3 linked regions of the Caenorhabditis elegans genome follow. The protein of the gene in region 1 interacts with the protein of each later gene in a pairwise test. Each region holds a gene or a part of one and is shown on either strand. Other genes may lie near its edges. The genes, in order: txt-1, mct-6 and ceh-58.

Evidence for each region.
Region 2: the proteins of txt-1 (region 1) and mct-6 interact in a two-hybrid assay, tested with the Caenorhabditis elegans proteins (one large-scale study listed by BioGRID).
Region 3: the proteins of txt-1 (region 1) and ceh-58 interact in a two-hybrid assay, tested with the Caenorhabditis elegans proteins (one large-scale study listed by BioGRID).

Annotation. Positions count from the first base shown.
Region 1 is NC_003280.10:101,536-111,604, forward strand, and holds txt-1 (PDZ domain-containing protein), read left to right. Parts: upstream 1-4,653; 5' UTR 4,654-4,722; coding exon 4,723-4,791; intron 4,792-4,995; coding exon 4,996-5,152; intron 5,153-5,200; coding exon 5,201-5,376; intron 5,377-5,846; coding exon 5,847-5,903; 3' UTR 5,904-5,950; downstream 5,951-10,069. Other genes in the region: col-68 (Nematode cuticle collagen N-terminal domain-containing protein), read left to right, coding at 3,008-3,086, 3,132-3,229, 3,288-3,338, 3,383-3,863, 3,907-4,187; C50D2.2 (Cationic amino acid transporter C-terminal domain-containing protein), read left to right, coding at 7,668-7,878, 7,932-8,182, 8,229-8,557, 8,614-8,986, 9,033-9,392, 9,450-9,695.
Region 2 is NC_003284.9:16,762,446-16,774,523, reverse strand, and holds mct-6 (Major facilitator superfamily (MFS) profile domain-containing protein), read left to right. Parts: upstream 1-4,025; 5' UTR 4,026-4,028; coding exon 4,029-4,187; intron 4,188-4,221; exon of another isoform or gene 4,222-4,366; intron 4,367-4,437; coding exon 4,438-4,586; intron 4,587-4,634; coding exon 4,635-4,760; intron 4,761-4,997; coding exon 4,998-5,991; intron 5,992-6,040; coding exon 6,041-6,319; intron 6,320-6,483; coding exon 6,484-6,561; 3' UTR 6,562-7,108; downstream 7,109-12,078. Other genes in the region: C10E2.1 (FBA_2 domain-containing protein), read right to left, coding at 7,868-8,348, 8,802-9,061, 9,112-9,448, 10,460-10,693, 10,742-10,815.
Region 3 is NC_003280.10:10,364,128-10,374,880, reverse strand, and holds ceh-58 (Homeobox domain-containing protein), read left to right. Parts: upstream 1-5,283; 5' UTR 5,284-5,298; coding exon 5,299-5,382; intron 5,383-5,599; coding exon 5,600-6,000; intron 6,001-6,201; coding exon 6,202-6,295; intron 6,296-6,391; coding exon 6,392-6,475; intron 6,476-6,542; coding exon 6,543-6,606; intron 6,607-6,657; coding exon 6,658-6,812; intron 6,813-6,867; coding exon 6,868-6,969; 3' UTR 6,970-7,133; downstream 7,134-10,753. Other genes in the region: ceh-57 (Homeobox domain-containing protein), read left to right, coding at 9,254-9,291, 9,347-9,384, 9,440-9,498, 9,545-10,109, 10,168-10,246, 10,507-10,591.

The sequences.
Region 1 (10,069 bases):
CGTTCAGTCTCATTTTGACACAATTCACTGCATCGGAGCATATCTTTATGTTCTTCTTCAGCTAACGACCACATCAGCGTAAATTTCAAACCATAAAAACTTACACTGAAGGTTATATTATCCAAAGAGATTCCAAAACGATTTTGAAAACCTCTCACATCTGGTGATATCAGTTATAATAATAATAATAATAATAATTTATTACGTTTGCACTGAAACGTGAAATTGTTGAGAGAAAAAAAATTAAGAAATCGGACAAACTAGATCCCACTAAAAATGTATTTCGATTTTTTTTATTTTTTGGCGAAATTAAAAAGTTTATATGCCCTGATATATTAGACAGATAGTTGAATAAAAATTTGCATTAACAGCTCCAGCTGGATTTGCATTAACAGCTCCTGGCCAGGCATGGCTTTTTGGTCTCGCCATATTCGTTTAAGTTGTTAAAAATGCTTGCAAAAATTATTTTTTAAACTTTGAGTGGCGGTAACTTTAATGATACCAAAAAGCAATTACTTGTAACATTATTCTTTGTTTGACCCGTGGAACAATCGGAAAAAAAAGCTTGCTGCTGGCTTTACAACACATTCATAGTGGCCTCTCCTTTCTATAAACTCCCCAGCAACTGGTGGTCCCGTTAATTCGGGCTCTTGCCACTATTGCGCCCCAGGCTCGCCTTGAAAAGAGTGATTTGGAGAAAGGAAAAAGAGTTGGACTCTTTTTGTACACAAACCTTGTTACTAGTTGTTACAGTCAATAAACCCTTTTTGAGTCATTGTCTTACTATCAGTTAATTTATATAGAAAACCATACGAAACATAAATGATAACAATTCAGATTTTTAGATCCCAATTTTACGGAAGTACACTCGTATATCAAAACTAGTCTTTTAACCTACCTATTCACAAAACAAAAACTGTCGTTTACCTCATTCTTTCTGTCTCTTTTCATCCACTTTCGAACCGAAACCTTTTTGGAACAATTAGCCATTCATCTCTGTCTGTTTTCTGCTGTTCGAGAGACAACATCCATTCTTTTTTTCTGAAAAATAAAAGATTGATTGATTTGTATTGTTGCGCCATCGGAAGAATATTTTATTCTTTTTTTGTCAAGTGCAATCGGAAAGTCTGTCTGATGACGCGGTCACAATCATCGTTAGAAATTGTGTTGTGTAATAAATTCGAACACTTGAGAAATGAATTTGCGTCTCAATGCCAGCTTTTTCAAAACGCGATCTTTGAGTTGTTATAGGACAGTTGGTTATTATCAATCTAGATCCACTTCGAATAAGAAAAAAATTGACAAAATAGTTTGGAATATTTTTGTAGCAAATGTTAAGCTGACCCAAAAGTAATCTCATGAGAGCTCAAGAATGTTTTCTACAATTCTATGAACCCAGTTTTCGAGCAATTTTTATTTTATGAAATTTTGAAAACCATATGTCTCTTGCATTACTTGAAAACTTTATTTCTCCAATTTATCTTTTTGAGTACAAAATTAATAGGACTGAAAAACGAAGATTAATAAGAAAAATACGGTGTATTGAATATTCGTGCCAAATATCGCAAGAATCAATTTTTCTGGAAACATGTGTTCCAGTGAGAACTCAATACCTTTTTGAAGCATTATTACTGACACATTAAAATATATCAACCACGACAAGTGGCGGAGTATAATACTATAGTACTCGAATGTATTTCAAAACACAGACTACAACTAACTACATCCTAGTTAAGTTAAGTTCATGAAATAGTTTAAAACTAATAAAAACCAAAAACTCCTAGTCAGTCACACCTCATCCACCAAATCCCTCTTAGCTTCTACTCTCCTCACATCCACCTACTCATTTTCCCATATGAACAGTGAGTGAAGGAGGGACACACAGTCATTACTACTTTCCTTAATGGTCACCTCAATTTGCTTCTTCACCATGTTCTCTCTCTCTCTCTTTATACATTATATTCTAATTCTAGTCCTCCCCCTCCTCCCAATAACGGTTTGCCTATCAAAGTGGGCGGAACACTAGCCTCCCTTTCGGTTTGCCATATGGGAATCTTTATATAAACGTGAAGTGTGTGCCATTGTAGATGACTATTCAATCTTTTTTACACACTTCACATATATTTCAAATCATTTTGTATTTAATTGTACGTTTCTGATTTTCTGATCTGTTTATTTATCATTAATTGCTCGTGTATTCACGTGATACTGTTTTTGGAGTAGCGCTAGTGAGGAATTATAGTAGTCCAGTAGGAACAAATAGCTTTTACTTCAAAACTGTCTAGGTTTTGAAAAATTTTTAACTCACATCTTTGTTTAATTCTGAATTTCTCAACAAAATTTTAACACATTATGCAAAAAATTCAGAGTAATGTTGAATTGTTAAATCTCACAACAAACTGAAACACTATTACATATTTCACACGTCGTTCCAGGCTGTCTCATTACGGTTTGATCTAAAAAAAATGCGGGAATTTTTCGCCCAAAAAAATGTGACGTCAGAACGTTCTTAACCAAGCAAAATCAGTTGAGAACTCTGCGCCGCTTCTTCCGCATTTCTTGTAGACCTAGATCAAGGAAAAATAAGACACTCTGACAGCATGGTGAATTCGCATATGAGCGGTTTTCAACTATTCCTTCACTGAACCTACTCTAACTTTTATAATTAATTTTTAGAATTCACTGTAAAACTCTAGCATCTATGTATTTGAAACAAAATCTGAACTTCAATACTTCAATACTTCCTTTAATGTCATAAATTTGAAACTAGCCTAACTCATTCGCCTCTCTGTTCGCACATAATTTGTCTCATTCCCCCATTCTCTTGTACTCTTTCCCGGGCTTCACTCGACTATTACTCCAGTCACTCAACTCAAGTCGTTACTTTTGAGTGAGCGAATTCTCGCGCGCGCGCACGCAAATCACTCATTTCGAATTGTTCGTCGTCAATTTCTCAATTTCTTCGCCACTCTTGAAACTTGAAACTTTTCCCGATTCCAGAAGAACTATGGCTTCTGAATCGTCGCACGATGATCCAAAGTATGAAGCACAGGAAGCTGATGCAATGCGGAAGTTGGCGTTTTTCGGTGAGTTTACTCCATAGTAACAAAATGAATGCCTGAACTTTTAAGGAATTGCCATATCCACTGTTGCTACATTAACTGCAATAATGGCAGTCCCCATGCTCTACAATTACATGCAACACGTTCAATCTGCATTGCAATCTGAAGTATGTACTTGTTATTCTGAATTCGTGTTGTTATTATTATAATTTCTTTTTTTTAAAGGTAGATTTCTGTCGACACAGAACAAATGGATTGTGGGACGAGTACAATAAAGTAAGAGTTTTTTTTCGGATCAAAAGGAATTTTCTTTTATTCAGTTTGAATCTGTTGCGGGCGTCCGTAGACGCATCAAACGCGCGACATATCAAAAATCAAATGGAGTCACCGGACGTCTTGCTCATCGTCGTCGGGCAGTTGCTCGTGGCGCATCTAGCTACGATGGCGGATTTAATGAAGAAGTTCCAGTTGGAGGTGGTGGTGGTGGAGGAGCATGCTGCTCTTGTGGAGTTGGCCCACCTGGTCCATCAGGAGCTCCAGGAACAGACGGGAATCCTGGAAATGATGGGTCTCCAGGAAATCCTGGAACACCCGGACAAGATGCAGTAGGAGACGAATCCCCGACTGCTGCAGATTTCTGTTTCGACTGCCCAACAGGACCACCGGGACCACCTGGAAAGCAAGGACCTAAAGGACCAAATGGAGAACCAGGCGCTCCAGGAACTCCAGGAGGAAATGCACTTCCAGGACCACCAGGTCCCCCTGGACCTCAAGGTCCACCGGGAGCCGATGGATTACCAGGTACATTAGCATATTTGAAAAAATCTAACGAAAAACGTTTCAGGTAACCCCGGGGCTCCAGGTGTTCCAGGCCAAGTTATCGAAGTACCAGGTACTCCAGGGCCAGCTGGTCCACCAGGTCCTCCAGGCCCAATCGGCCCACCAGGACAGCCAGGAGCTCCAGGAAGTTCCCAACCAGGACCACAAGGGCCACCAGGAGACCCAGGAATTGATGGAGCTCCAGGAAATCCTGGATCTCCAGGAGAGCCTGGACCACCAGGACAACCAGGAGCTGGTGGTGGATGCGATCATTGTCCTCCACCAAGAACTGCTCCAGGATATTAATTTTCTGAACTTTAAGCCGACTGTATTGTCTTTCATAGCCCTATTTCTGTTCAACCGGTAGATTTATTCGATAAATCACAATTTTTTAATCATAATGAAAATTTATTCACGAAAATGATCACGTACTTGATCTCAAACTTGAGTTTCAGGTACTCCATGTGTAAAGTCATTTCATCAGTTTCAGTGGGTCTAGGTTTAGAGAAATATTGGTTTTATCAAAAAATTTTGACACAGTCACGTTTGGTGAATTTTCTAATTCAAAAGACAACTTTATTTTACTACCGGACCCAATCATACTCCATTATAAAATTACATACTCTTTATTAAAGTTCTCCACAAATTAAATCAAAATTTTGAGTGTTTAAAAAGCAAAAACTAATAAAAAATAAATAGAAAACCACGTCCAGTTTTTTAATAGATCACGCCACCACGTCACTGAAGTCTACATTTTCCGTAAAGAGCTTTCAATAAAATCATTTCAAAAATCAGAACAAGTAACGTGGTTCCTTCAACTCTTTCTCTTATTTTCAAAAAAATGAGCACTACAGGATCTGCACCGCCCAATTCAAAACTTAAATCAGTTGAGGACACGGATGATGATAGGGTGAGTAGACAGGGGTGGGTGGCAATTGCCGGTCGACAAAATTTTTGTCGGCACATTGCCGGTTTTTTGCCGATCTGCTAGAAATTTCCATTTCCGGTAATGTGCCAGTTGCCCGAAATTTTCATTAAAATTTTCATTTTGACATTGCCGATTGCCGCGCACCCCTGAGTATTAATGCTCTTCACATAAACATGGCTACTTCAGACTCTCGCTGAAGACGATCAAAACGATCAAAACTCTGGGAGTATGGATCACCGATTTGAGAGAATCAAGGTGACACTGATGATGACTCAGGGCAAGAAGTTCGGACTTGGAATAGTATCTGTTCATCAACGTATACTGGTCTGCAAAGTGGAAAATGGTTAGCGAATACTTTTATAGACTCTTTTCTAATTGGTAGACATTTCAGAATCTCTAGTAGCCGGGGTTCTCAAGTACGGAGATCAGATTATCGAGATTAACAAGAAAAACGTCTTAAACAAAATTGATTGTAAGAAGCGGTTGATGCAATGCCTCAAGGATAAAGGACAAGTTGATATTATCATTGTGCGCCCAAAGACTGCAGATGCTGTTACCATGATTGAAGTGAGATTGTGAATTTAACACAGGGGTGGGCAACAATTGCCGATTTGCCTGAAATTTTCAATTCCGGCAACTGACCGGTTGCCAATTTGCCAGAAATTTTAAATTCCGGCAATTTGCCGGTTTGCCGCCCACCCCTGATTTAACTTGACTGATTTTCGGCAGGAACACTTAAAACTGTGCCTTTTTGAAACGTTTTTTTCTTTTTTCTTTTATGTTCTCATAGAATTTGCTTACTTTTCAAAATAGATGTAGGAACATTCTTAGGATGTGTAAAACGTAGCCGAGCGTAGCCGATTCCGATTGAAATTGAAATTTTGAAATTTCCAAAAAAATTGCTGTTTTTCCGGCAAATTTGCCGGAAATTTTCAATTCTGGCAATTTGTCAATTTGCCGAAAATCTCAATTTCGGCAAAATTGTTTGCCGTCCACCCCTGATTTAACATGATTGATTTTTTAAAATTATTTTTCAGCAAGAAATTCAACTCTCGCAACAACCGAGCACTACTGCACAGCCAAAGATCAATTGAACTTGTATAATGAATAAAAAGTATAAGTACAGAATTAAAATTGAACTTTGGCCCCATTCCAGCAATAAATGTTTTGTAACAAATAATAATCCCCAGTCACAAAAATAAATAAGTTTTCCCCTTCCCCCCACTTTCACTTCTCTGGCTTTTCTTTTTCTGTTTCCGTTTCTCATCTAGAATTCCAAATTCCACGACATATTGTTTCTGTTGCCTAAAAAATGTGTATTGGTTTAGTGGTTAGTTTAATTTAATCAAGAATGGCGCCATAACATTCAAATCTTAAGCTGCAGCCAACAACAAAATGCATTGATGAGATTTAATCAAATTTCTCTGCTCTTATTTTTGTAGTTCTCATTCTTTAAAAAAATATTTTTAGCAACTTCACACACTTCAATTTCATGTGTTTTATAATATCACCCAATCCATTAATGCAGCTAAATATGGAGAAAGCGCTCGGCTTTTCTGCCTTGCCTGGCTGAAGCCTCAGGCGGCAATTAATGGAGCTCTGAGAGCAATAGAGAGATGAAAAAGTTAAAGCGGGCGTAAGAGACGCAGATGGATGGGAAACTGAACCATCTTCTTTTTCTTTATTTTGCTCGTCTTTTTCTACTCTCCTTATTCGTTCTCTTTGAATGTTAGCATTCAATGCAGAGGTGCGCGGCAATTGCCGTTCGGCAAATTTTTTTGACGACAAATTCGGCAAATCGGAAAATTGCCGGTTTGCAGATTTGCCGGAAATTTTTAGAGGGATTTTTTACAAGACGGAAACACGTAAAACTGTGTCTTTAAAAAAAATTGTTCCCGTTTTCTTCAGATATTTTCATAGAATTTGCTTACTTTTCAAAACAGATGTAGGAACATTCATAGTGATGCGTACCATTTTACCAATTGAAATTTAAATTCTGAATTTTCCAAAAAAAAGAGTTTTTTGACAATGCAAAAAAAACGAATTATAAAAAAACCTGAGGAGATTTTAGATGTTCGGCAACAGAGAGCTTGTAACTGTACTGATGGAGCTTTTATGGGAAAGTTATTGAAATTTTACCAAGTACAACTTCCATCTTTTAAAAGAATATTAGAATATTAGCAACTATATTATATTATTATGCATGTTATGCTATTATTATAAATTATGCAACTATATTAGCAACCATATTAGTAACTAAAAATACTCCATAGCGCCTCCTAATCACGTTATGCACTTCCGAATTGATATACCAATAGTAAATAAAATTTCCAGACCCAAATATAGCACATTTACGTTCATAGATTTCCAAGCCCAAAAATCAAATTTTAAAGTACATGCCTGACTTTTATTATGGAATTCATAATACTGGTCAAAATTGATACGAAATATCACAACAGAGACTTCAATGCATTTCTGACAACCACAAACCATTTGTGCTGTCATTCCATTACACACGAAGTCCAGCATACATTTTTTCCCCCGAAAAACGTCTTTGTTTATCTTCCACCAGTTCCGCGCGCCCGCTCTATTCCTCTTTTTCTCGTTTATTTTTCCATCTATGCGTTTGTTGTCTTTTTGTTGATCTAAATATTGCATAATTGATCGATTAATTTAATTTTTCTTTTCTAGGAAAAGCTGCCAGAAAATTCCCATTTTTACATAAAATTCATAAAATTTGGCGTTGAACTCAAAACTTTTACGATCGTTTCCTACTCTCCGCTTGCAACCTCAATTCAAACGCAACTTTTGATATTTCAGATAATTAGAAAACCAAAAGTTCAGGAACAAAAACAAAAATGTGCTTCTCGGCGCTTCGAGAACGTGTATTTCGTCTGAAAAACTTGCCGGCTGGTGAGATAGCAACCCCACTTCGAAGATGTCTGAGTACTTTTGACATTACTCTTCTTGGAGTTGGCCATATGATTGGCGCTGGAATTTATGTATTGACTGGGTCGGTTGTCAGAAACACTGCGGGACCATCAATTATTCTGTCTTTTTTGCTAGCAGGTAAGTAAACGGCGGCTTCAGTAAATTATTTCCATTTTTCAATATTTTTTAAGGTTTTGCATCTCTTCTCTCTGCTTTGTGTTATGCCGAGTTTGGAGCTAGGTTCCCAAAAGCTGGAAGTGCATACACATACACTTATGTTGGAGTTGGAGAGCTATGGGCTTTTGTTATTGGATGGAACATTATACTAGAGCACATGCTTGGAGCTGCTGCTGTCGCTAGATCATGGTCTGGATACTTGGATTCATTACTGGGAAATGTTATTTCAAATTCAACAATTGCTCGCACTGGGCACTTGCATGAAGTAAGCCAGTAAATGTTTTTATAAAATTTTGAATTCGAAATTCCAGGCTTCATCATTTTTCGGCGATTACCCTGATCTTCTCGCTTTTCTACTCATCGTTCTTGTGGCATTTTTTGTTGCTCTTGGTTCAAAAGTGTCCACTAACTTCAACTCTTTCCTAACAATTCTCAATATTGGAATTGTTGTCATAGTCGTGTTCTATGGTATAACGTTTGCTGATTTCTCTCTATGGAGTGGAGTAGATGAGAAAGGGAATTCGAGATTCTTTCCGTATGGAGTATCTGGAATGTTTGCTGGAGCTGCATCTTGCTTTTTTGCATACATTGGATTTGACGGACTTGCAACTGCTGGAGAAGAAGCTAAAGATCCTGCACGGTGAGATTAAAATTTATGTGAACTGAGTATGTGAAATCTTAGGTAATTTATTTTAGATCAATTCCAATTGCCACATTCTCCTCTATGACAATTGTCACACTCTCCTATGTTCTGATGTCAGCTTCCCTGACATTGATGATTCCATACAATATGGTTCATCCAACTGCAGCATTTTCTGATGCATTCACGATGCGTGGAGCAGAATTTGCAAGCTATGCGGTCTCGGTCGGTGCTCTTTTTGGAATGACAACTAGTTTGGTTGGAGGAATGTTTGCTCTTCCGAGATGTGTATTCTCAATGGCTGATGATGGACTTTTGTTCAGCTCCTTGGCATCCGTAAACCCAAAAACTCAAGTTCCAACTCAAGCTCTTCTTATTTTTGGATTCCTCACTGCAATCATTGCATTGCTTTTCGATATTACCACTTTGGTAAGCTGAAATACGTTTTAATATACTTTAAACAAAATATTTCAAGGTTGAATTCTTATCAATTGGAACTCTTCTTGCGTATTCTATTGTTTCTGCCTGTGTAATCGTACTTCGCTACCAACCAGCATATAATGTTGATGAGGGCCAATTCGACAATGGAGGAAAACTTCGATTCAGCATTCCATTCTGTGGCTTCCTTGATAAACTTCAGCCAGGACACTCGATTTATTATGGGATGAGCGTAATGATTGCTTCAATGTTCTTCTCAGGCCTTGGATTCAGTTCTGGATATTTATATGGAACTGTTCTCTGCCAAATATTCTTGCTAGTCAATATTGCTCTGATAATTCTCTCATTCCTCTTTATCTGCGCTCATTACCCCAATAATACTCCACTGGATTTCAAGGTATGATTGATAATTTACGCAGGAGATTTTTATGTATAATGTAAATATTCCTTTCAGGTACCTCTCGTTCCTCTTATTCCTGCCCTTTCACTCTTAATCAACACTTTGATGATGGTTCATCTTGCTTGGATCACATGGCTCCGGTTAGTTGTTTGGATGAGCATTGGTTTTGTTATCTATTTTGGATATGGAATTCATCATAGTAAAGAAGAAGTACAAGACGCTGAAAAGTTCTCGAAGAGCTCCACGTATGAGTCCGTGGTGTCTGGAGTAGTGGCTGGAGCTGGAACGACGTCTCCGTGATTATACCTTCTAAACTCATCAGTTCTGTAAATAAACCGCAGTCTCCTTTTTATATTAATTTATGTTTTCTTTAAATATCAAATCTCTCCAAATGAACACTGGTTCCTCTCGTTTGTACGCATTTCCTGTCTGTGCTTCCTAGTATTTTAGTTACTTTCATTTCTTAGTATTTTTGTTTCCTTGTTAATAAAAAACTTGTAAAATCTCAGTTTTCTAAAACAACCATAGTTACGCAATTATCAAATACATATTCATTACCCTTTCTTATCACTAGCCGCCTCGCAATTTTGCCCGATTTTATGGAAAACGAGACAAAAGGATAAGCCTCGAGGCAAGGGACTGGGCGGCGGATGACGCGAGAAATCTCGTTTTTC
Region 2 (12,078 bases), on another chromosome or scaffold:
GTTCTTTTTTATCTGTGACGGTCTCTCACCCTGCAAAAAGATATCAAAAATGATCCGCATTGGAATGTTGATTTACAATTATCACCTTTTTTTTCTTCACTTTTCTTGCCATTTTTCTCGGTTCGCTTTGTGTACCGTCCCTGAAGGACATTAATTCATATCATCGAAATCTGCGTTTCAATCAGTAGCCAGAATTCATATTACTTGCGCGCCAGTTAATGATTTTGACACCTTTTTGAAATCAATTTTCTTTTCGAAATATTTTCAAACGTTTCACACTGAAATAGTCGTAGTATTTTCCCACATTTGCCAGAAAGCTTTAAAGGTGCCGCCGTAAAAAGTTACCTTTTTCGGTAACGTTACCCAAACAGAAAAAAAAAACAGATATTTTTATGTAATTTCGGTACAATTTTTTTTCCTTTTCTGAATAAAACGGCATGTGACGCTTGTTCACATATAAGGAATCAAATAACAGAAATTGGAGATACCCAAAAAACACTGAAAGATAGATGTTTGAATATTACTTTGAGCTTTATACACATTTTGTTATATTCAGTGACCTTGTGTTGATTATAATGTTTGAAAATATTTTCAAGTAGAAACATTAAACAAATGATGTTTTTCAGCGTTCAAAATGACAAAAAAAATTAAAACCTAAAAAGTAAAAATCGTCATCAAAAATATAAATAAATATTCTCAGTCTAAAAGTTAATTTAAAATGAAATTCTTCATGTAGAAATTTTTAATACAACCTACTTTTGTCAGGTATATCAACAAAAAACCAATTTCCCCAAAATTTCCCACATTTCCTTTTACATTAACGGCCTAGATTAAAAATTTGGGCGACAGCAAGTACCCGGAGCACTCTACTGATAATTTTTTATTGCTCCAAACTATTCTCAATGTCTATCAAAAAAAAATCAATTGATAGATAATTCATCATGATTTACAGCTTTTTTTGTTAATTGTGAAACTGGGCGATGATATTGACCACTTTTCAAAAAAAAAAGACCGTGTTTTTAGAGTCATGTGTTATTGTGAATCGCTTATAAACAAATTTTACGTTTATTTTCAGAATGAATGCTAGAAAAGCTAGAAAATTCGTGAATTTTTCCATTGTTTTTTTTTTAGAATATCAATTAATTGACAAATATACGCTTGCATAAATTGACAACACATTTTTCTCACATTGCAATTTTCATAGTCTTTATTTATTTACAAGGCTTGTTACATTTATTTTCGAAAAATACTAGAATTTTAAAATAGAAATAGAAAAATAGAAAATGACCAAAATTTACGTTGTAGTGCGGATTTGGCTATTGCCGGAAATTGCCGAAAACCGGAAATGAGAATTGCAAAAAGTAAAAGTTTGTTAGATTTCTAAAAACTTAAAATTGTACGTTTTTTTGGGAAAATATCCCCGTTTCAAGCCTAAAGGGTCTATACTTTTCACAGTCTCAGTCGCCAATTTCTGGTAATTTTTGATTGCACCCATGATCTACACCAATTAGTAAAATTTTAAACAGGTGCCTCTTCGCTCCACCCATTGCTATTTTGATCTTTCAGAAATTTACTCTTATTTCACAACTCACAGCCACCTGTTACTGTCTAGCCAACACCATATGGGACCCTGTCTGGAAATTCTATGTGTAGAAAGCTAAAGTGCATTTGTCACATTACATCACATTTCGATTTATTTTTACCAGTTTTTTAAAAAACATTTTTGAAAGCTGGAAAATGTGAGAACTTTGGCACAAATCCAAGAATTGTCGGCAAACTTCAAAGGTTTCATTTTCCCAGACAATTTTGTTCGAACTCTGGGGCGACCTCGTTTATTAAATATTCTTTTCAGCCAAGTTTTCATTAGATGAGAGAAAAGTTTAAACAAACAGAGATCTGTGGAATCCTAAAAGTATATGACCGCGGGTAATTGGACACGAAAGGGTCAGAGCACATTAGCTTGAGTCATAATCGTAAATAGTTGATGAGCAGCCTGATGCCTTCTTTTTGTTGCTTTTCTGATTGACCTCTGCCCAGTGTAACATTATAAACAAACTGTTGTTCCTCTCATCCATGTTCCATTTCTCCTCAAGAAAGTATGTGTGTGTGTGTGTGTGTGTGTGTGTGTGTGTGTTTACGAGTAATGCGTTTTTACGTGACAAACACGAAAAATTCTGGAGAAAAACACACACACATACCAAAAAGAGGAAAAAATCTGGAGAAGGATAAGAGTGGGCAGGGTTTCAAGTACCACTAACACCATGTTTGGGTGTTTTTTAGTTCTTGGTTTTCTCTGAAACATTTTAACTTTTTCTTTATTCTCGAATGTTCCAATGTTTGTTTACTTGTTTTGTGAATCTTTTAAAATGCGAGCAAAGAATTTTTTTCAATATCAAAAAGTGCTCTCTATGTGGGCGGTTTTGAGCGCATCCTTTTAAAATTTTAGACAACATTTTGAAAATTGATTTTTATAATTGGAAACATTGTTCACACAAAAAAAAAGCCATCATGTTACATCATTTTGACAAAGGTTTCAAGCTTGAGGATAAGCTCCGCCCACAAGGTTTGATATAAATAAGGGCTTCTATAAAGTTGACTTCATTTGCAGTGAATGCGTTGCTGGCAGTTTTCCTATAATGAGATATGGTTTTCTTTTGATTTCTGTATAATAAGGGGCTCAACTTGAACGGTATGATTTGCGAAAGCTCATTTCTTCAAAGCATTTGGAATTATAAAAATTTGTTCAACTATTCATACTGTTGCAAATGTTTTGGTAAAATCCAAAACAGTCTAGATATCAGTCAAAACAGTCTAGTCTAGAGACTTCTGAGCAATGAGGTGAAGCATATACTATAACCGTATGTTAGGCTAAATTCGAACTGCTTTTTTGTTGCTAATAAAATTTCAACTAGCAGAATCGAGAGTTACATTACAAAACTAGGATCTAGAATCTCCCGATTAACCTACCCTGGCGCGTATTTCACCAGTTAAATTATGTTTTGTCAAAACTTAACAAAACCTACAATAAGTTGACCAAGTAGAGAAAAACACACAGAGTATCAATTTTTTGTAACACACATTAATACTTGAGCTTTAGAATCTACTGATCTTGATAAACTACTGAGAAATCTGTCTCTTCTAAACTTCTGGTATATTAGAACTTTTACACTTTGCACTTTCAATCAACCCAACCATACCTTCTTCACTTCAGGCTTCAGGGCTTCAGTGTTCAAACCCTCTCTGGAAGCCCTGTCCTTCATCCGTTCCTGACAGATGTTCGTGAAGTACACATGCCATTGTCTACCCACAATCACCATTTTTTTCCCCACACTACCCGCGTCTCGCTCTATCTCACCTCGCTCCGCCCTCTTCGTCATCTCCCCACACTTGTTCATTGTCGACCCTAACACACACTTCTTACAGTCGGCCGGTCACCCTTCACCCTACGGACGGGGTGTCCTTTCTCTGGCACACTCTGGTGTTTACGCGCACTCTTGCCGTTCACCCTAGCTTACTGCGTCTGAGAGTGCCCTTCTTGTTTCCCGCGTTTTTTGACCTATTCAAATCCATCAATTGTATCAATTGCGGTGCGATTTCGAGCCTATATCTAAACCAACACAGCTAACCAAACTGTGGATTTTATATAGGCCGATACTGTAGATGTTAGTTAGGCAAATATACAAGTGCGTAGTCCTAGCATGAGATTTGTATCTATCTAAAAAAAAATACCGAGACCTTTTTCTCCCGGCAACTATTTATTTGATACTATCGAGAAATGTGTGAACATGATTAATGAGAGCGCGCAGTCCTACTTCTTTGATCTTTCTCTTATTCTGTTTCTCTCTGATGTATTACTTTATTTTGCATCTTTTTATTTTTCACCCGGATTGCTGAACATTTTTAGATTCGAGTTTTCTTTTGAGGCTCACTAACTTTTTTTTTTTGCTTGTGCAACTTGATATGACTTTCTCAGAAACTTTCTTGATACTTTTTGAAAATGTTCTATAATCAAAAAAATTTTTCAGAAAATGACAGGTGCACCAGTGTCGTCTGGCGGGGGAAAGTTGGTGCCATTGCCTCCAGATGGTGGATGGGGATGGGTCGTCGTGCTCGGCTCATTCTTTGTGCACGTCTTCGCTGATGGATTCGTATACTCGTTTGGAGTGCTCGTCGAAACTCTTATGGAGGTGAGCTTCTTCTCAGATATCCTAGACCCTAGCCACTGCCCCATTGTCAATAACACCGCTGTCACATGTGTAGGCTCTTTGGCTCTTTGGACCCTCGATCAGCCATTCGTGCAATGTTTCACGTGAATCTAATCAACTGGCCCATAAGCCGGCGGGCACTAAATGTAATGTTATATCGTTGATCCAGTTGAACATCTCACGTAGCCAAAAATCATGTACTAAAAAACTAAACTAAAATAATCTTTCACAGGAGTTTCACGCAAGCAACACAATGGCAGCACTCATCATCTCACTGCTCACCGGACTCACCCTCGGAAGTGGACCGCTCGCTTCTGCCGTGTGTAACAAGTATGGATGTCGTATCACCACAATCACCGGAGCAGGAGTTGCGTTCGTCGGGTAATTGGCAATGATCCGAAGCCTCTAGGAACGTTGGTTTCTTTTCAGATGCGCCCTTTCGTACTTTGCAACTGCCATGTGGCACATTGTGATCACCGTTGGTGTCATCATGGGTACCGGCTTTGGATTGATGTATTGCCCGGCTATTGTGATCGTCACTATGTACTTCGAGAAGTGAGTTGAGAGTAAATGACGCCAATAAGTGCATGAATTGATTTTCATATTGGTGGTAGTTTTATCTTGATTTCTGATTTTAAAACTATTATTAGGACACTACGATCGCAAACGCTAATTTGCGATCAACCGGGAGACCTCACTCAGATTCATATTTCCAATAGTTGTTTTTGTCCTCCAAAACATTGGAAATCAAAGAATAACAATTTTTTAAAATAGTTAATTTTAAAATTTCAGCAAGCGCTCCCTTGCCACTGGAATTGCAGTCGCCGGTGCTGGAGTTGGAACTGTCCTTTTCGCCCCGATCAACGCTTTCTTCATCAACAACTACGGATGGCGCAGTGTTTTCCTGGCATTCTTGTTTATTTTGGTTCTATGTGCTCTGTGTGGAGCCACTTTTGCTCCATTGGAGTTTGCATTGGTGCCAGACGAGGAAGAAGAAGTGAATGATGAGGTATTGGACGAGGATGTAAAGAAAACTGCTGCTAATGAGGAACACGGAGAAAAGGCAACACTCTTGAGTCCGCCATCTTTGCTCGAGAGATCAATGTCTCAGAGTTCTGGAGTTCAAAAAGCTGGTGAAAAGATCCGGCCAGCTAGCTCCATGGGAGCTGTTGATGTTGAGTCTCAGCCAAGATCTCGTCGCGGAACAGTTGGAGAGCGTGACAGTGGATACCTCAACCGTAAAGACGTCTTCTACACCGGATCAATCTCCAATGTCGCCGAGTTCCGTGAGGATCCAGACAAGTATCGCTCGACCGGTTCTCTTCATGGACGCCACACCACTGTCGGAAGTATTCCAGCTCACTCCACCGGAAGACTGGATGATGTTCGTGAGGGAAGTGAAGAAGACAGCAAAGCCATGGATATCAGTGAGAAGACCAACGGAACTGACAACACTGACAACGTCGAGGGAAAGAACATGTTCAAAACCATCAGCAACATGCTCTCTTTGGAGCTCCTATTGGAACCAACTTTCTTGCTCTTTGCGATTTCAAACCTTCTCACATCTGTTGGATTCAACTCCCCACTGTACTTCCTCCCACTTCACGCTACCAAAATTGGACTCGAGCCTATCCAAGGATCAAAGGTTCTTTCCGCATTTGGAGTCTCCAACACCGTTGGCCGTATCATCTTCGGAGTTGTTGCCGATCACAAGCTCCCACTTCCAGGAGGCATCGGAAATGATACCGCTCGTAATCGTCTCTGGATGTATAACATTTCTTTGACCGTAAGTGCAAAGACATTCGACAAGAAATTTAATAAACTTTGTTTTACAGATCTGCGGACTTCTCACTGTATTTTGCTACCAATTCAACGGATTCATCCCACTTGCCACCTACTCTGCACTTTTCGGATTCTCTATTGCCTCGTACATCTGCCTCACGTCTGTCATCCTCGTCGACCTTCTTGGACTTGACAAGCTCACCAACGCCTTCGGACTGCTTCTTCTCTGGCAAGGAGTCGGAACAGTGTTCGGACCACCTGTGTCGGGATACTTGGCTGATATGACCGGCAACTATACCCTTTCATTCGTCTTCTGCGGAGTCAATCTCCTGGTGAGTACAAGTTGAAAATAGCCAGCAAGACCAAAATACTTCATTATATTTAAGTTTTCGGTAATTAAATTGAGTATCCATCTAAAATGAGGCTACAAGGTTTGACTAACAAGTTAAAGCATAAATACAGCTCTTGAACTTTTAAAAACGTTTCTCTTTTTCAGGCCTCTGGGCTCATGCTCTTCGGAATCCCATTCTTCCAGAAAAAAGCCAAGGCCAAGGCCCTGGCTATCAAAAAGTAGATGCTCCTGTCCCTGATGATCTGCCATGATTTTCGCTTTCTCTCATTTCTTAACGATATCATTTCTAATTTTCATTTTCATACACCCAATCTCTTCTTATCGAAATTGTGTTTTCAAAGCACTGGGTACTCCTTGTTATTTAGACCATATTCCTTGTTCCAGACATATTTCCTTCAATTTCACTTGTCCTCATCTGGTTTTCTTGTTCACTTTGTCCATTACCTAGGTTTTCCCCTTGTAGTTTGTTGTTAATTCTCTCTCACTGTTTTCCCAAATACCAATAATTTGTAATTCAATAATTTGAATCTGGTTCAAAACTCGTTTCACCCAGTTTTATCTATGTGTGTATTAGTGCCTTTTTTGCTCTTCCAGCAATCTCTCCCAAATTGATGGGCTTAACATTCCGTTTTTGTTTTCCTATCTTTAATATACCTCAACACACTGTCTAAATCGTTAGACTACATTTCCATAATATTGCTGGTTTTGCGCCTTTCTGGCACTTTTCACATCTGTATTATGATACTATGAAGTTGAGTTCTTGAAATGATTTTTCATCTGGAAATTGGGAATTCAGTAAAACGAAACAGTTTTTTTAAACTCAGTTTGAGGATTAATTTTACTATTAATCCTCAAACTGATCTTAAAAACTGAAGTACCACAAAAGCAAAACGAAAAGTTCTTTTTTTCTAAATTCTACCTAAAAGTGTCTGCTTTGTTACCTTCTCTGATTATTTTCAATATAAAAAACGGGGTAATCAATCTAAAGAGATTAGTAACAATTGAAAATTAGCCAAAATGAACCTAATTTTTTTTCAAACTTAATGAATTTAATTTTTTTAAAAGTTTTTTTTTGTGTTATTTTGGTTTTCAGCGACGGGAATCAAAACAAAATGGGTCTCGGCACGATCACCTTCCCAGACTTCATTCTACATGAAATTTACAGTTGAGTGTCTTATTCAATTTATTCACTGAAAGAAATGGTACAATAATTAAAAACAATATAAAGGTAGTACTGGATAGAGGTAGAAGCAATCAGAAAAAATGAAACAAAAATCAGAACAAGGAAAAAGGACACAAAAGGATTCATAAAATAAGAAAATGTATAAAGTGTGAAATGCTGAATCTCGAAATTTTCAGCTGATTCGTAGATAAGAATCATCAATTCAGATTATTTTATTTGACTACATCGCAACAATTATTCTGCTTAGACAAAAATACATGTGCGTTCTGAAAAATTGAAGAAATTAATCTGAAAGTAATGTTTTCGTGGATATCGGGAAATAATCACATGTCATCGTGTTCAATTTCAGTTTTGATTAGCGCCATACGAGAAGAAACCGAAATCCTTCCTTGCTTGGGTGGCCAGACACATCTCCTTCAAGAAATCCATGTGATTGATTTGATGTTGATAATCATTCATCTCAAATGCGATCTTTACTTTCCCAATCTTGCTCTCATGCAATGCTCTTTTTGCTTTGAGAAGTTCAGCACGATCTTTCTCATTGTGCCATTTCTTGAAACACTTCTGCTCTTCATTTGTTGCTACTTTTAGATTTGATTTCAGAGTCTTCAAGGTTTCTTTTTTTGACGCATACGTCTCTATGGTCTTGTCAATGTGATTTATCATTGGCGAGTTCCATGGATACTCTGCGTGTATTATGAAAGTATGCTCCTGTGAGATTAAAGATTTTGTTTTGAGATACATAGTCATCAATGCACCATCCGAACGTCGCAAGTGCACTCCGTCATTGGTTAGAATGTGCATTTTTTCAAGATATCGGAGCTCTCTGAAAATGAATATCGAGGTACTTTTATTTCCGTCAATAATCGTTTTTAACTGCAATTAAATTGTTGTGAACTAATTCGAAAAAACTAGCGGTCAAAATAATCAAATTTAACAACTTTTTTCTCTGCTTATCGACTTTTTTAAATTGTGGGAATTTATGTAACAAATGAATTTTGACTTGAAACTTTTTTGGATAAATCAAATAGTTTAGGCCAGCTGGCGCCTAAGTATTAGACTTGTTGGAAAATTGGTCACTATGGCCGCAGCGTATGTCAGTAACGGTGCCTCACTCACACTCGCCAAATTTTATTTTAGACTTTGTTTCTTGCTAGTCGATTTTGATAAAATGTGATCTACATTCAATTTATAATAATGATAATTTAACTGTAACAATTAGTATTCAAAATAGTGCTTTGCAGCAACTTGCACATTTTTTAGTTTTTTTTTGACAAACCTGAACTTTCGTTGTTGATCGTTTCGTGTAAAGTGTTTGAAGTTTGCCAGCAGGTTCTCAAGATGTCTAATGTCCAGCTTCTTTATATGCACTGTCATAGTTATCAAATTTGACTTGTGAGTTATCATTAAAGCGTTGACAATTTCGTTGATAACATCTACAGAGCATTCATCCATATAATAGGTTGTATCGTAGCCCGCATTTGGTAGTTGGTTATGGTAGGATGCATTGGTCATGATCACGTTAGGGATTTGCCATACCTTAATTTTCATTATCTTTGCAAGCTGTCTTGAAGTGTGCTAAAACGTACCCGCTCCAAGTATACCATGGAACGATGGCTGATATTCACATTAACCGTCAAGCTTTTGAAAATTTTAACACCATTCAAAAGCCGTACGACTTGCTCCGATTGGTACATAGTTGGCTCTTTAGCAAATGCTGGAATTCTCAAACTAACACAGCCAAAGTCATAAAGCATTGCAATCACATATCTCACTGTTTGAGAACTGTCGAAAATGTCCTCGTCGACCACAATGCTTTTGATACCGACATTGAAAAGGTTCTGAAGCTGATCAAATAATGCAAAGAATGGGTTTAACGCTTCGTCTTTTTTGACCCGAAGACTGATTCCATTTTCTGTTGAGCCTCTGAAAATGCGAATTAATTTTAGAAAAAAAAATATTATTGGTGGTGGGTTCGTTGTGATGGTATGTAGCTAGGAATACACCACGAGTTCAAGTTCTTCCTAACCAATCCTAGGGCGGCTTAGGGGGCTAGCCCCTACAGTGGGGCTCAGCACAGCCCCCGACACTTTCGGGGTTCCGCGCGGCACTATACAGAGGGTCATGGTGACAAGTGGCGCGAGGTTGGCGGAACCCCGAAAGTGTCGGGGGCTATCAAACAACCACCTTTCGTAATGCGTTTTTCAATGCGCGCGGGGCTGGGGCTGAGTCATTTGCAGCCCTTTAGCAGCCCTAACCAATACTGAAAAGCAAATGTGGCCAACTAATGAATTATGCATTATACAATAAAAATATGTTTTCTAAAACAACTGAGAAGATAACGTTCAATTGAATTAGTATACATAGTGACCCCCTGATAAAAATATTCTTTATTGTCTAGCTGAAATTTAGAAAACGATCAACTCTCATTTTCCGACGAGCATCAGTGATTTGTGCTTTGAGCAGCTATTTTCTATTGAGCAACCGTCAATTAAGAAATCCCACGCAGTTTCATTTTTTCAAGCTTTCCGTCACGATTACTAAGTTATAAATAGCGTGTGTTGTGTTGAACATCTGATTACACTTACATTTTATACAGGATTTTTACAGAAAAGGAGTAAAAAGAGTTTTCTATATTTTATTCCAGGCGTTTCAGTTGATACATGCAAACCCATTGTCATTAGATATTTCAAATGGGATTATTTATTTTTAGAGAGTTTCCCTACCATTCCCAGAGGTATTTCCCGCGTGGTTCGCCATTAGGTAAACATGGTCCAGTTATACTTGCTTTATCATTTACAGCGAACACAAGAGTTCGCAAATGAATACGTGAAGAAATTTAAAATCCCTTGCCAAATTTAGTGTTCCCAGCCAACTACCATAAAAACGTTACTTGTTTCTCGGCAAAACGTTACAAAATGCCATAACAAAACATACACAATCAAAAACGACTTCTTGGAAATGTGAAAATATTGATTCCACTTTTTCTCCGGATTGTTCTGCTTCACAAAACTCCACGAGAAGCTCTTCTTCGGATTGACACACGTAATCTCAATGTCTGCTTTGTTGGATCCGATCCACATTGACATGGACAATCCTTCACTTTTCAGATATCTTACTCCATACTGCAATTGTGCGCTTAAATCGAGATCTAGCTTGCTGAAGTTGTAGCTGCAATAAAAAGTAGAATCAATCGATTTTTAGTCAAAATAAACTCACATATCACCAGCAGACAGAGAATCGACCTTCTCCTCAAACTCTCTCACAGAGTTCATTTGAATTACAGATGGCATCTCGAACGACTAGCAAGTTGTATATTGAGCAGCTCAAAATGGCGCTATAGTTACAATTACGCGACTCGTATATTGTCTCTTAGCAACTCGTGTTTGCTTCAGCTCCACCACCGATTGTCAGTGAGAGGTGGATTCCATAGGGTATATGAAACAACGTCAAAGATTAACTATTTTCAAAAACAACTCGGGAAGTAAATTAGATGCTCTTCATAGACTTGACTATCGATTTAGACCAAAAAGAGAGAAAGAGAAAAAGAGATGTGAAAATGAAATCGTATTATTCTGATAGTGAGATTTGTAAAACTGAAAGTCAGAACTTGTGATGTTTTGTCTTCGAAGACGAAGGAGCGTTGAAAATAGAATGAGTGGGAGCCAAACGATCAGAAAAGTACGAAAATAATCAGAAGGCTTGTGCAGATGCCCTTATTTCTGCAAGATGTTTGTTCTGGAAATCGGAATCTGCTTGAATAAATTTTTGAAATGCCTGAAAATCGCAGAAAAAATAATAAATATTCGAACGTTCACATAAATTTTGGATGTTTAGGAGGTTTTCTGGTCAAATGGAAAAATGTTTCGAATTGGAAAATTGTGTAAAAGCACACACAAAATTGTTCAATCAAGACGAGTCGAACAGAAAAAAACTATCGGGAATTTGAAACATTTAGAGGTGATGTTTTAATACAAACTTACACGTCTATTCCCCTCATACAATTTTCTAGAAATATGAACTTCACCTACATAAGCGTTTATTTTTAGAAAGCTGAATCAAAATGCCGAACAGCACTGAAACCGAAAAAAAAGACGACAATTCAACGCGGGCTCAGTTCAAAGATTGGCACAGTAAAAAATTGTGTAATTATCATTTTCAAATGAGTACCCACTCGTGGATTATAAAAAACATCTAACAATTTTAGTTGAGCACACCTTTCGAACTTGTTTTGATGAATACGATTCCCTAGGGTGTGCGCTGAATGATACGTGTGCTGATAGAATACATGCTTTTAATCATCTTTGTGAGTAATTGTTGAGAATGATTTAATACGTTTTCATATTGGAAATAAAGTTGAAAATATCACGGAATTTCAGAACGAGTAAGTATGTATCAAGTATAGTTTAGTGTAGTTTATTAATTATTCAAATGATAGATGAAATTGAATAGTATTCTTTATTGGAATTTGGGGGGGGGGGGGGGGGGGAATGCTATGTATAATTTCATAATTTCGAATGATAGTATATGTACAGTGTCACCGTCCGCGATGTAGT
Region 3 (10,753 bases), about 10 Mb from region 1:
TGTATTTGTCCAAGGGGCCCCACAGACCACCACCACCACCATCATCATCATTTCGGCTCTTTTCCTTTTATGAGTGACCCATAATATAAAATGTCTTGTGTTACTTAGACATATTGGGATTAGTAAGTTTGCTGCTAAAAGTGAGTCACAGCAAATAATTTTCCGTAAGGGGCCATAAGGGAACGTATCTAAAGTGGCCTATCACTTTTGGGATTATTGGCTCAATTTTTTCTAAGTCTTTAGGACAACTACATTTTCTTAAAATGATCCAGTGTGTTGAATAATTTTTCTACCGCTTATCTATACTCGTCTATAATGTAACCATACAATATTCCAACTTATGTTAATCATAATGTTAGGAATGTGCAGAATTTGGTCCAAGAAATATCAACTCATCAGAAGTTGGCTAAACTTGGGCAAAAGCTGTGCAAAAGTTTGGCAAAAGACTTTGGCAAAACTTGGTTTTAAGATGAGCTAAAGCTTAACCCAATTTTGACCCAACTCTTGCCACACTCTTATCACAAAATCAAGAGCCTCATTCAATCGCAAATTTGTCAATTTTTTATATAAATTTTTGAAGAAATTTTCCTCCAAAAACTATCTACATATTTTATTTCGAAAATCCTAATACCATTGTTTTGAACTTTCAAAAGCTCCCGTGACTCATTCATTACAAGTAAAAAATAGCGAGTTCTCTAAGAGAATGCCTTTCTGCCTTTGCTCACCCGTTTACGCTGAAGAAGAGCCATTCAACCATAGGAGCTTGTCCTCATTATCAAAGCTAATTAGGAGGCTAGTTTCCTTTTCTCCCCACGCCTATTCCATTATACCAGCTGAATAGTCTTATTTTATTTCCACTTGGTTGCGTTCTTATTTCAGATGCTCACTAATTAATTATCGATCGATAATTGACTATAGGTTTAAGATAATTGTAAAAACTACACATTCAGTTTTACAGTAAAACTCTAATTTCTGAATAAATTAATTGTTGAGGCGTACTAATTTTAATTTTTTAAACACCAATTAATTCAGTTTCACTTAACCCAATTATACGTCTGCTATATTTTCCCATCCAAACATGCAATTTGCAGGCACAATTTATGTCTCTCGTCCCACTCTCTCACAGAAAATTGCATTTTCCATCGATTCATGTGTATGTGTGTGTACGCAGGGCGCGTTAGCCCTAATTATCATAAATTGCCACCCTTCTCTTCGTGCTAAACCGCACCCAATTATCGGGCAGATGGCCTCGTCGCCTCGCTTTTCTCATTCTTTCTTTTTACGTAGTTCCGTGTATTTTGACTGTTTTAAAGTATTCTATTGCTTTGTTACAGTGTGGACTCTAATTAATTCGAAAAATTAGTTTTATAAGGGAAAATTACAACATTTTTTTGAAATTTATTGTTTTACTTAAAAATTTAATTCAACAAAATGTTTGAATACCTTGAACACTAAACACCAATAAAAATATTTTTATATCTTAATTACTTATAAAAATCGCTATAAAAACTCAAAAATAGACGCCGCCAAAAGATTGTTGACCACTAGTGCTATCCTGTACCAGTATAATATTTTGGTAAATATTAAATTTCATCAAAAATAAATTTGAGGAAAATGACAATCACTGATAATGAATGATAATTGAGCGTTGAATAAATATATCAGCAAGTTTTGATTATCACCTGTAAACACACACAATTTTGTCTGGGCGTGCGTTGGTAATTAAACATACTTTGATTATTGCGAAACTAATTATAAATTATATTTTTTCACACTTTTTGGTAATAATTACAAAGTTCAAATATTTTTTAAGAAAAAAAACAGTATTTAAACTTTTAAATAAAGTCTAAAAATATAGCTGCAATAAAAGTGGAGAATCTCTGAAAATTCCTTATATGTAATTGTCTGAGAAGGTTTTGCGGAGCCAATGTTCTCTGCACAGACTAGTTTTTCATGGCGGCATAGATCTACCAAATTCTAATGTACATAATTAATTTTAGCAAACAACTTTTTAATATTTAGTCTCTAAAAATGATCCATTATTCCTCTAAAAAACATTTTTCCAGTTTCCAACAAAAGCAGTCAAACCACCAAAAAACGTCTCAAATTTCAATAGAAACGGGCAGACACCGGGGAAGCATTTCTCGAAATTCTATTATTTTGTTCTTTCCCTCCTTCTCTGTCTTATTCGTTCGTTTGTTTCCAAAACAAAATATGTATTTATACAATATTCTTGTCTACGTCTGTTAACTCTCTCACACCGGGGTTTTCGTCTTTTCAAAAGACATAATTATCGACCAATTTGGAGGGGAAGGGGAATGGAGCGCGTTTCTGCCAATTTCGGTCACACAATTTAGCATAAAGGACATCGATTTTTTAGTTAGCACACATATATTCTAGGAAGATACGATATTACATTTAGGGTTTCGAAAGAAATTACCACTTTTCTATATTCTAAAGATACTAATTAGCAACATTGAAAAGCATTAAAAATAGTGTTTTTTTTCAATTAGTCTTACTCTATGCTCTATTTTGACAGCTCATATCTAAGTTAACTTCGATTTTACAAAAGTATGTTCAACTATTGATATAGGAAAATTTTTGGCACGTATTTTGTTTCTGCAAATTTTTTTTTGATAAAACCAAATGACCGTGAAATTAAGGCAATAGGGGTCGTAAACCTTATAGAAAAAAATTCGGTATATTTTTTAATGATTTTTCCCCAATTAAACCCGTTTTTTTAAACTTGTTCTATTTATCTAGTTAATCTTTTCTATCAGAATGCGCTATTCAAATTATATCAGGCATTTCTTCAGGCATACCTCTTTCCTGCCTGAATTTTTTCTTGAATTCACATGATTGATAGTATAGATTTATGCACTTTTCATGTTCACATTTTAATTAATTTTTTTGAAAGTTCAGCAAAAAATCTTGAGCTGTACTTTGACAGTGAGCAATGCCTCGGCCGTCTCAAAGCAATTTTTTTTATTTCCTAATACTATAATTGCATTGGCTAATTTTTGTTACCATGAATAAACTTTATTTGTAGTCTTATCAGAATCCTGATAATCACATCTAGATTTGATGATTAGTTCTATAATTTTTTCAGCTTGTTTGCTCAGATGCACAACTGGAAAACAGAATGCTGTTGATAATTGCTCAGTGAAGCAACCTTTCGTTATGAGCTAATCATATGATTTCTTGAAAACTCATGCCAAATGAGCAATTTCAGAGAGTTTTAAAACAGTTCTCGCAGTGATTTTTCCATTAGAAACTTATCAAAGAGGTTTGCAAAACATTAAAAAATTCTTTGCAAAAGAAACCATTTACATTTATAATTAATTATGGGAGCCGAGCAAAACAACATTTTTTGCAATTTTTTAAATCCAAAACTTGGAATCTGTATTCCACGAATGTTTCTATATTTGCAAAGTGTGTGAGAATATCAGAAGCTGAACAAAAATTCATGTAAAATCTAGATTCTAAATTATTCTGGTGTATTAAATTGAAAGTATAGCAATTTTTACCAGTTTTTGCTATGTTAGCTATCATATTTGAATGTTGCAACTCACTCCTCCAAAACCCTCTAAATCAAATTCCAAATCCTTATGGACCATTCAATGCCCGTTATTATTCACATTGAATCTTCTAAAACTTTCCCACAAGCACGACCAGCACCACCCCATTCAAAGCTGCTCCTTCATCAGCATCCATCCGAAAGCGTCCATCAATGTCTTCAGGCATTCCATCTAAATTCATTCACATTCAAAAGCAGTAGGATAGATGTGCGAGAGAGACGAGAAATCCTCCGATTTTCTTCAAATAAACATAGAGAGTGAACGACGACTAAAGGACCCTTTTCTCCTTTCTCTCGTCGTCTGATCCTCTCGTATCTCTCGTCTACCACCACTTAACCACCAACCAACCACATCTTTCTAAACACACAGCGGCAATTAACTAATCGCTGAGAACTTTTGGTAGGGTTTCGTAGTATGTTGTAGAGAAACTGTGAAGGCACTTTTTTTTGGAAAAACTTTAGTGATATTTGATTTTTTTTTGCCCAAATTTCAGATTTTTTTAAAAATAAATTACTGCAAGACTATAGTCTAATCAATGTCTAGCTAATTGTTCAAGAAGACAAGTTCTACAAGTTATCCATTTTTGCCGTATCATCTATTATTATCCTGGTAAAACCTAAGTTTGAATCTTTTGTAGTGATCGTGCCGCAAGTTATTCTAGGCCTGTGATTACCTATCGAGTTATGCATTTTCATTAAAAAATACCATTCATTGAACACTTAAAGTGCTAAAATGTCTAAATATCGTAGTAAAACCTTTTCAAAACTCCAAAATTAATTTTGGAAGTCGGCCAACTTCTAAAATTAATTTTGGAAGTCGGTCAACTTCTAAAATTAATTTTGGAAGTTGGTCATAATTATTTTCCAACATTAATTTTATTGTAATTGCATTTCAACTGTTTGTATTCAAAAATTCAAGGGGTTCACATTTTTTGGAAAATTTGGTATTTAGACGATATTCCACCCTTAACTTAGTATACTTATCATGGAAATCAAATAAAGGTTTCAGTGCTAGAAAAAATCTATAGCAACATTTTCTAGAAATTCATTTTTGATCTACCCGGTAAACTGAACTTGATCTCCTTTTTCTTTAGAAAATAGCTCTCCAATTATAAACTTTCCTTTTTTGATTTTTCACGAAATCAAGAGACTTTTCACTCCAAATCACATATACTTTTCTCCACCTTCTCCCCCATTTCAATTATCCTCCTCATAATCTTCTCCACAGTCTTCCACTTTTTCTTCCGTTTTTCTTTCCTCTTTCTTGCCTCTTCCTCTCACTGTCTATGACTCCAAAATGTTCAATTGAAAAGAACGAACCTTCTCCAAGCGGGCAAATTGGTGAGAGTGAGGCGTTTGGTTTTATTGGACCTTTTGGTGTATGCCAGAGAGCATTCTTTGTGATTTGAGATTAAAATGTTCTCCAATTGTTGGCACTTCTACTCTCCGTCTCTTTTATAATTCTACGGAGAGGCAAGAGATGAGATAATTAAATCAATTATTCCAACTAATTAAGTGCCTCGGTCTCTCCCCATGTCCTTCCATCCACGTATTGATTGGTTGAACAGAAATTTCTTAGCTTTTCTTTCTTTCAGCCTAATTTTTCTTATTTGATTGAAACGTCCTCTTCTGTAATTTCGAAACGTTCTAATTTTTAAATTGATTTTGTATTGTTTTTAAAAACATATTTTAATTAATTTTTTCAGGATACTACCTCAAAAATGTCCGCCTTTCAAGGCAACATGTTTGTCTTGGTAAACGTTGACCAACATCGAGACCTGATCGGGCCAATAATTAATCAATTGGTGAGCTTTTTAATCAGCCTATAAAAATTTCCAATTTGGAACAAAATATTGAAACTAAACTTAAAATCTATTATAAATTAAAAAATTAGCTGAAAAACGGGTAAATTTATTATTGAACCCAGAGAGTAAATATTTTAAAAAGTGTAATTTTAGAAGCAATTTTTTTAATGTTTGAAGTTATAAACCCAATACATTTTGATGTAATAATTACCTTCAGGTAGCCGACTACGGGACTCCCGTCTCAATTGTGGATAATATTCAAAAAATCTGTCCGAAATGCTCGTGTACCCCACATGCCAATCCGGACAGCTCATCAGTTCCAACTACAACAAGTTCCGATGAGCATCAAGAAGAACCCCCGACTCCAAAAACGATAGCACCTGCTCCAATTGCGACTCCAGTTCTAAAGCCACTTCTTCCACAACGAGAGTCTATTGTCTCAAATGGAATTCATCCGGTGGTTGTGAAACGAAAACAATCGATCGCAGAAGAAATTGACACGCCGGAGATCAAAAAGAGCCGAGTTGTGGAGCCAGTGAAAGTGAAAACTGAAACGATTATACTTGATGATGACGATGGGAATGTGTTGGACACGGTTCTAGCTGCATTACAAAATGGGTTCGTTTTTTGGATATTGTTCAGTGAAAAAATCATGAAGCTTTCATGGTAAAAATTTGCAAAATGTTATCAAAATACAGTATTTTTCCTAGTAGTAGACATGAAAGACTACTTTAAAAAATGTTGAATGCAATTTCGAAACCAAGCGTTTTGGACGTCCGCTGGAAAATATGGATACAAAAACTAATGTTTCTTTTTCAGAAACCATGAAATGCAGTTTACTGGATCAGGAGGAAGTAGTGATGATGGAGCATCCAATTCTAGCAATATTTATGATGTCGATGATGAGGATTATGTACGTTTTATCGTATATTAATTACTGAAATCTTATATATTTTGGGTTTAACCTAGACCTCGTGTAATTTTTTAAAAAATTGTAATTATTTTCCAGGGAACTTCTCAATGGAATCCAGATTTTTTAACCAACTTCATCACTTCTCAACCGAATATTTTCAGCGTAACTGGTCAGAATATAGTGAGTTATTGTTCGATAGATAACTATTTAAAAAATAGAACATTTCTAATTGTTCTTAAAATTTCAGAAATCCTCCCCTTCAAAAAACGCAGGCCAAACGCCGAATGGCAAGCGCCAAGTTCCGCCAATGTGTAAGTCTTCGTAAATTTAATAGGCTTTCATTTAAAAATCTATAACTTCAGTAACCGTAAACGGAAAAACGAGGCGTGGACGAATTGTGTACTCGACGCAGGAGTTGAATATACTCGAAAAATATTATGAGGAGGACCCGAATGCGTGTGCGGATCCTAGGAAACGTGAGACAATGTGCAAGACTTTATCGATTGATTATCATAGAGTACGTCCCAAAAAAATTATTTCTAGTCAAACTTCTAAAATGTTCTGCTTTCCAGCTTAAAGTATGGTTCCAAAATCGACGACGAAAGGACAAGGTTCGATCGCAAGAAGAAGCTGCCACAACCTTTAATGGATTAGATTATTCCGAAGATTCTTAAAATGTGATTTATTTTGTGTGTTTTTATGAATGTAAGCATTAATATTATTATTCACAAACCCTCTCTTTAATTTCAAGATTCTCATCCCATCTCAACTCTCCCCCCACAAATTGTTCATTCTTGCTCATGTTCCCAAGTTTATCGTTTTAATAAAATATGTTTCAACATAAAGTTAGGGAAAAAATTTACAAGCTGTTTTAAGCTGTGCATATTCATGATAATTCCAGAAGTAATGAATTTTTGGGTTCCAAATCGTTCTGAAGGAACTTATTGCAAAACTATCAAACATTATTTCAAAAATTGCGACCATTGAATTTTGCGACCGCCTGAAATAGTTTTTTGAAAAGATCTCCTATTGTTAAGCTTTTTTGATTATGACAACATATCAATATATGTTTTTATTAATTAAGCTTTCTCGCGCTTTTTCATAACCACTAATGAATCTTACTTATAAGATCACATTTCATCAAATCATGGGAATCTCAGGTTTGTTATTTTCATTTCACCGTGTATCTAACAATTAGAGCAACGCATCATACTTGCGTTGATGCTTCCATGGCAACGAAAGCAGATGGGTGAGATTACTCGCAAAATTTTAGGCCAGTTTTTGTGCGTTTTCATTTTGAAACTATTGTTATCCGTGGTTTTGTCGGACTGGGATTGAAGGATCAGTGACTAAATTATTGGAAACGGTGAGTGTTTTGCATTGATTGTATTTGAAATAAGTGAGATGTGACGTAATTAGAACTATAAACTGGCATTTTCCAATAATGACGCATTGATTTCGATAACTAATTCACTTTTAATTGAACAAATTTAATTCACAATTTTCTGATTATTCTTATTTGCCAGTTTTTCGAACAATGTTATTTCAGTCTCTTTAGTTCATCTGTCAACAGAAGGATTACACAATCGTCCTTGTCTAAAAAAAAAGATTTTTATAAAAAATTTCAGAAAATTTTTTAGCTTCAGTTGGTTGACCAATTTTTAGGTGTTTTGTTCTTAATTTTTGAGAATACTAAATTTGCAGCTCTCTCTCTCTCTCTCTTTTAATATTCTCTATTCTACAAACGTCATATCCTTGTGGCTACAACATTTTCCTTCAACAAACTTCTGCTTGCGATCACGAGTAGATCCCCGCACATACAATTTTCTTCTCATGACCACAAGAAACATGGGAATATTTGGAAAAATAAAGTTCTGCCAGTTCTCCTGATTTCATGCGTTGCGGTCATGTCATGTGTGGGATAATACCATACAGAAGAATGCATCCGGTTATAATTGTTTGCACATTGAGAACTTGCAAATTTTTTGCTGAACATTCTTAACTTTCTGCAGTACATGGCCAATTTCCTGCAAAACATTGCCAATCCTTTATCACCTACTCGAGATTAAAAAAACCCTTCCTGTCAAACTTTGACTAATTACTCTTGAAATTAGTTTTTTTCCAACATTTTGACTTTGGGGACTTGTTTCAAATTTTAAGCGCTTTCAGAATTTAATTACAACATTTTTCTAGGTGCCAGAAGCTTCCAGTTCAATCGAAAAAACTGACCATAACGCATATATAACGTTTTTTTATTGGAAGATTTTTTTAGTTTTCATATTTTAAAAATTAATATCTGAATTAAAATGAAGTTTTTTGAAAAAGTTTTCTCGGGGATTTGTTTCAAATTTTAAGCGCTCTCAGAATTTAATTACAAAATTTTTCTAGGTGTCAGAAGCTTCCAGTTCAATCGAAAAAACTGACCATCAAGCATATATATGATCTTTTTTTATTGGAAGATTTTTTTTAGTTTTCATAATTTTAAAAATTAATATCTGAATTAAAATGAAGTTTTTTGAAAAAGTTTCTTCGAGGGTTTGTTTCAAATTTTAAGCGCTTTGAGAATTTAATTACAAAATTTTTCTAGGTGTCAGAAGCTTCCAGTTCAATCAAAAAAACTGACCATCAAGTATATATATGATCTTTGATAATGATTTCTCTCGTTACCCAATAAATATGATTTTTCAGAGTATCATGAATCCGAGAGGATTCCGAAATTCATTCATATTCTTTAAAGTCTCTAATCAGAAATATCGACAAATCTATTAATCTGGCTGAAAGCATTTTTTAAAAAGTTTCTTCGAACACATTTAGAACTGAAAACTACAAACTAAAACTAAACGATAAGATGTCGTAATCCATTTTTTACAATTCAGTGACAACGTCAAGGCAAACGCACTACAACTTTTGATTGAATATATCCAAGAAAAATACTCGAACACGCTTAACCAGAAAAAAATGGATACACTTGAAGAGTATGCGCTTAGACAAGAGAGGTGGGTCTGAAATATTTCAATATATATATATATATATCATTTGTCTAAATTTCAGGCTGCACAGAATCCAGCTACAATCTGAAGAGTATCCTGGTAACTTAAAAAATGGTTTTGAATATTAATCAATGATCTAAAATATTTATTTCAGGAAGTTTGATCCAACAAGCCATATCGAGACTTCAGATGGGTGAAGAATTACCAGAGGAGGTATTTAGTTTTACTCATTAAATATAATACACAAAATTAATATCAGATTTTCTCAATCGGGGAGTCATTGAGTGTCTCCAATTACGGACAAGCAACAGGAAAAATGGTCCCATGTAAAGGAGACGCTATAAGTTTTCATTTTGGTGATTCGGGAAAAGTAGTTTCAATTTCTGTTTCATCTTCATTACCACCAGATGCCAAATCGATACCTTGCATGACTTTGGATGACATAAGGAATCAGGTGTCTCCTGGACAGGCCCAATTTTTAGGTGTGAAACATCCCGGTATAAACCCATTGGGTGCTCAAAGAGCCACAAATAGCAAAAAGTCCTCATTTGCTAGTGTACTCGAAAATTCGAGAAACACGTTGAAATCGAATCACAAACTTCAACACCTTCCTCGTTCTTCTGATCACAGAGACGATGTGGTGCAAATTTCGAGGATAGCAGCCTTGCCATCTGCACAAAAAGAACTCACAACTCGGAATATGAAAAGAAATTCCGATGAAATTGCAGAGGCTGAGCATACAAGAAATTTCAATGATCCGTTGGAACCATTCCCAATTATTCATCGAAAAAACATTCGATTGACAGATGATCAAGTTAGAGAAGGTTTGAGGAAATATATTGTGGGAGTTTTAAATAATTTTAATGTACATATATTTTTTAGAATACTTCAATCGTCAAAGAATGTATCCTCATGAGAAAAACGTTAAGAGTAAAGAAGCCGAAAATAATTATTCTTCAGAGTATGTTTTGATTTCGGTGGTTTATCAAAGTATTAGAAGCAATTATTATTCAGTTAAAAATTTTGTTTAAAACTTTTTTCGACAGTAAACAAATTTGAGTTCCCGCGGACATCCATTAATGCGGTAATTCAAATTCGGCCCCTCTATTTTATTTATTTTTAAACTACATAAATATCATAAAACGAAATCAACTTCCAAAACCAAAGCTGCCTCGTTTTCCTTAAAAATTCAGTTCCAAAACCCTCACTTTTCTTTTACAGGGCCGATTCTGAAGATTCTCCAGAAGTGGTTCCAGTTCAGCAACAAAAACGACGACCCCGGCAGAATTTTTCCAATACAATCTCGGTAGGGATTATTAAAATATAAACGTAAAAAGTTAGGTAAAAGCTTTAAAATATATTAGGTGAATTGTCGTATTATGATTTCTTTATCGTAGATTCAGAAAAAAAAGTCAATTTACATGTTTTTTTTTTTTAAATCAGTTCTTAAAAAAGTGGTGTTTTTTTT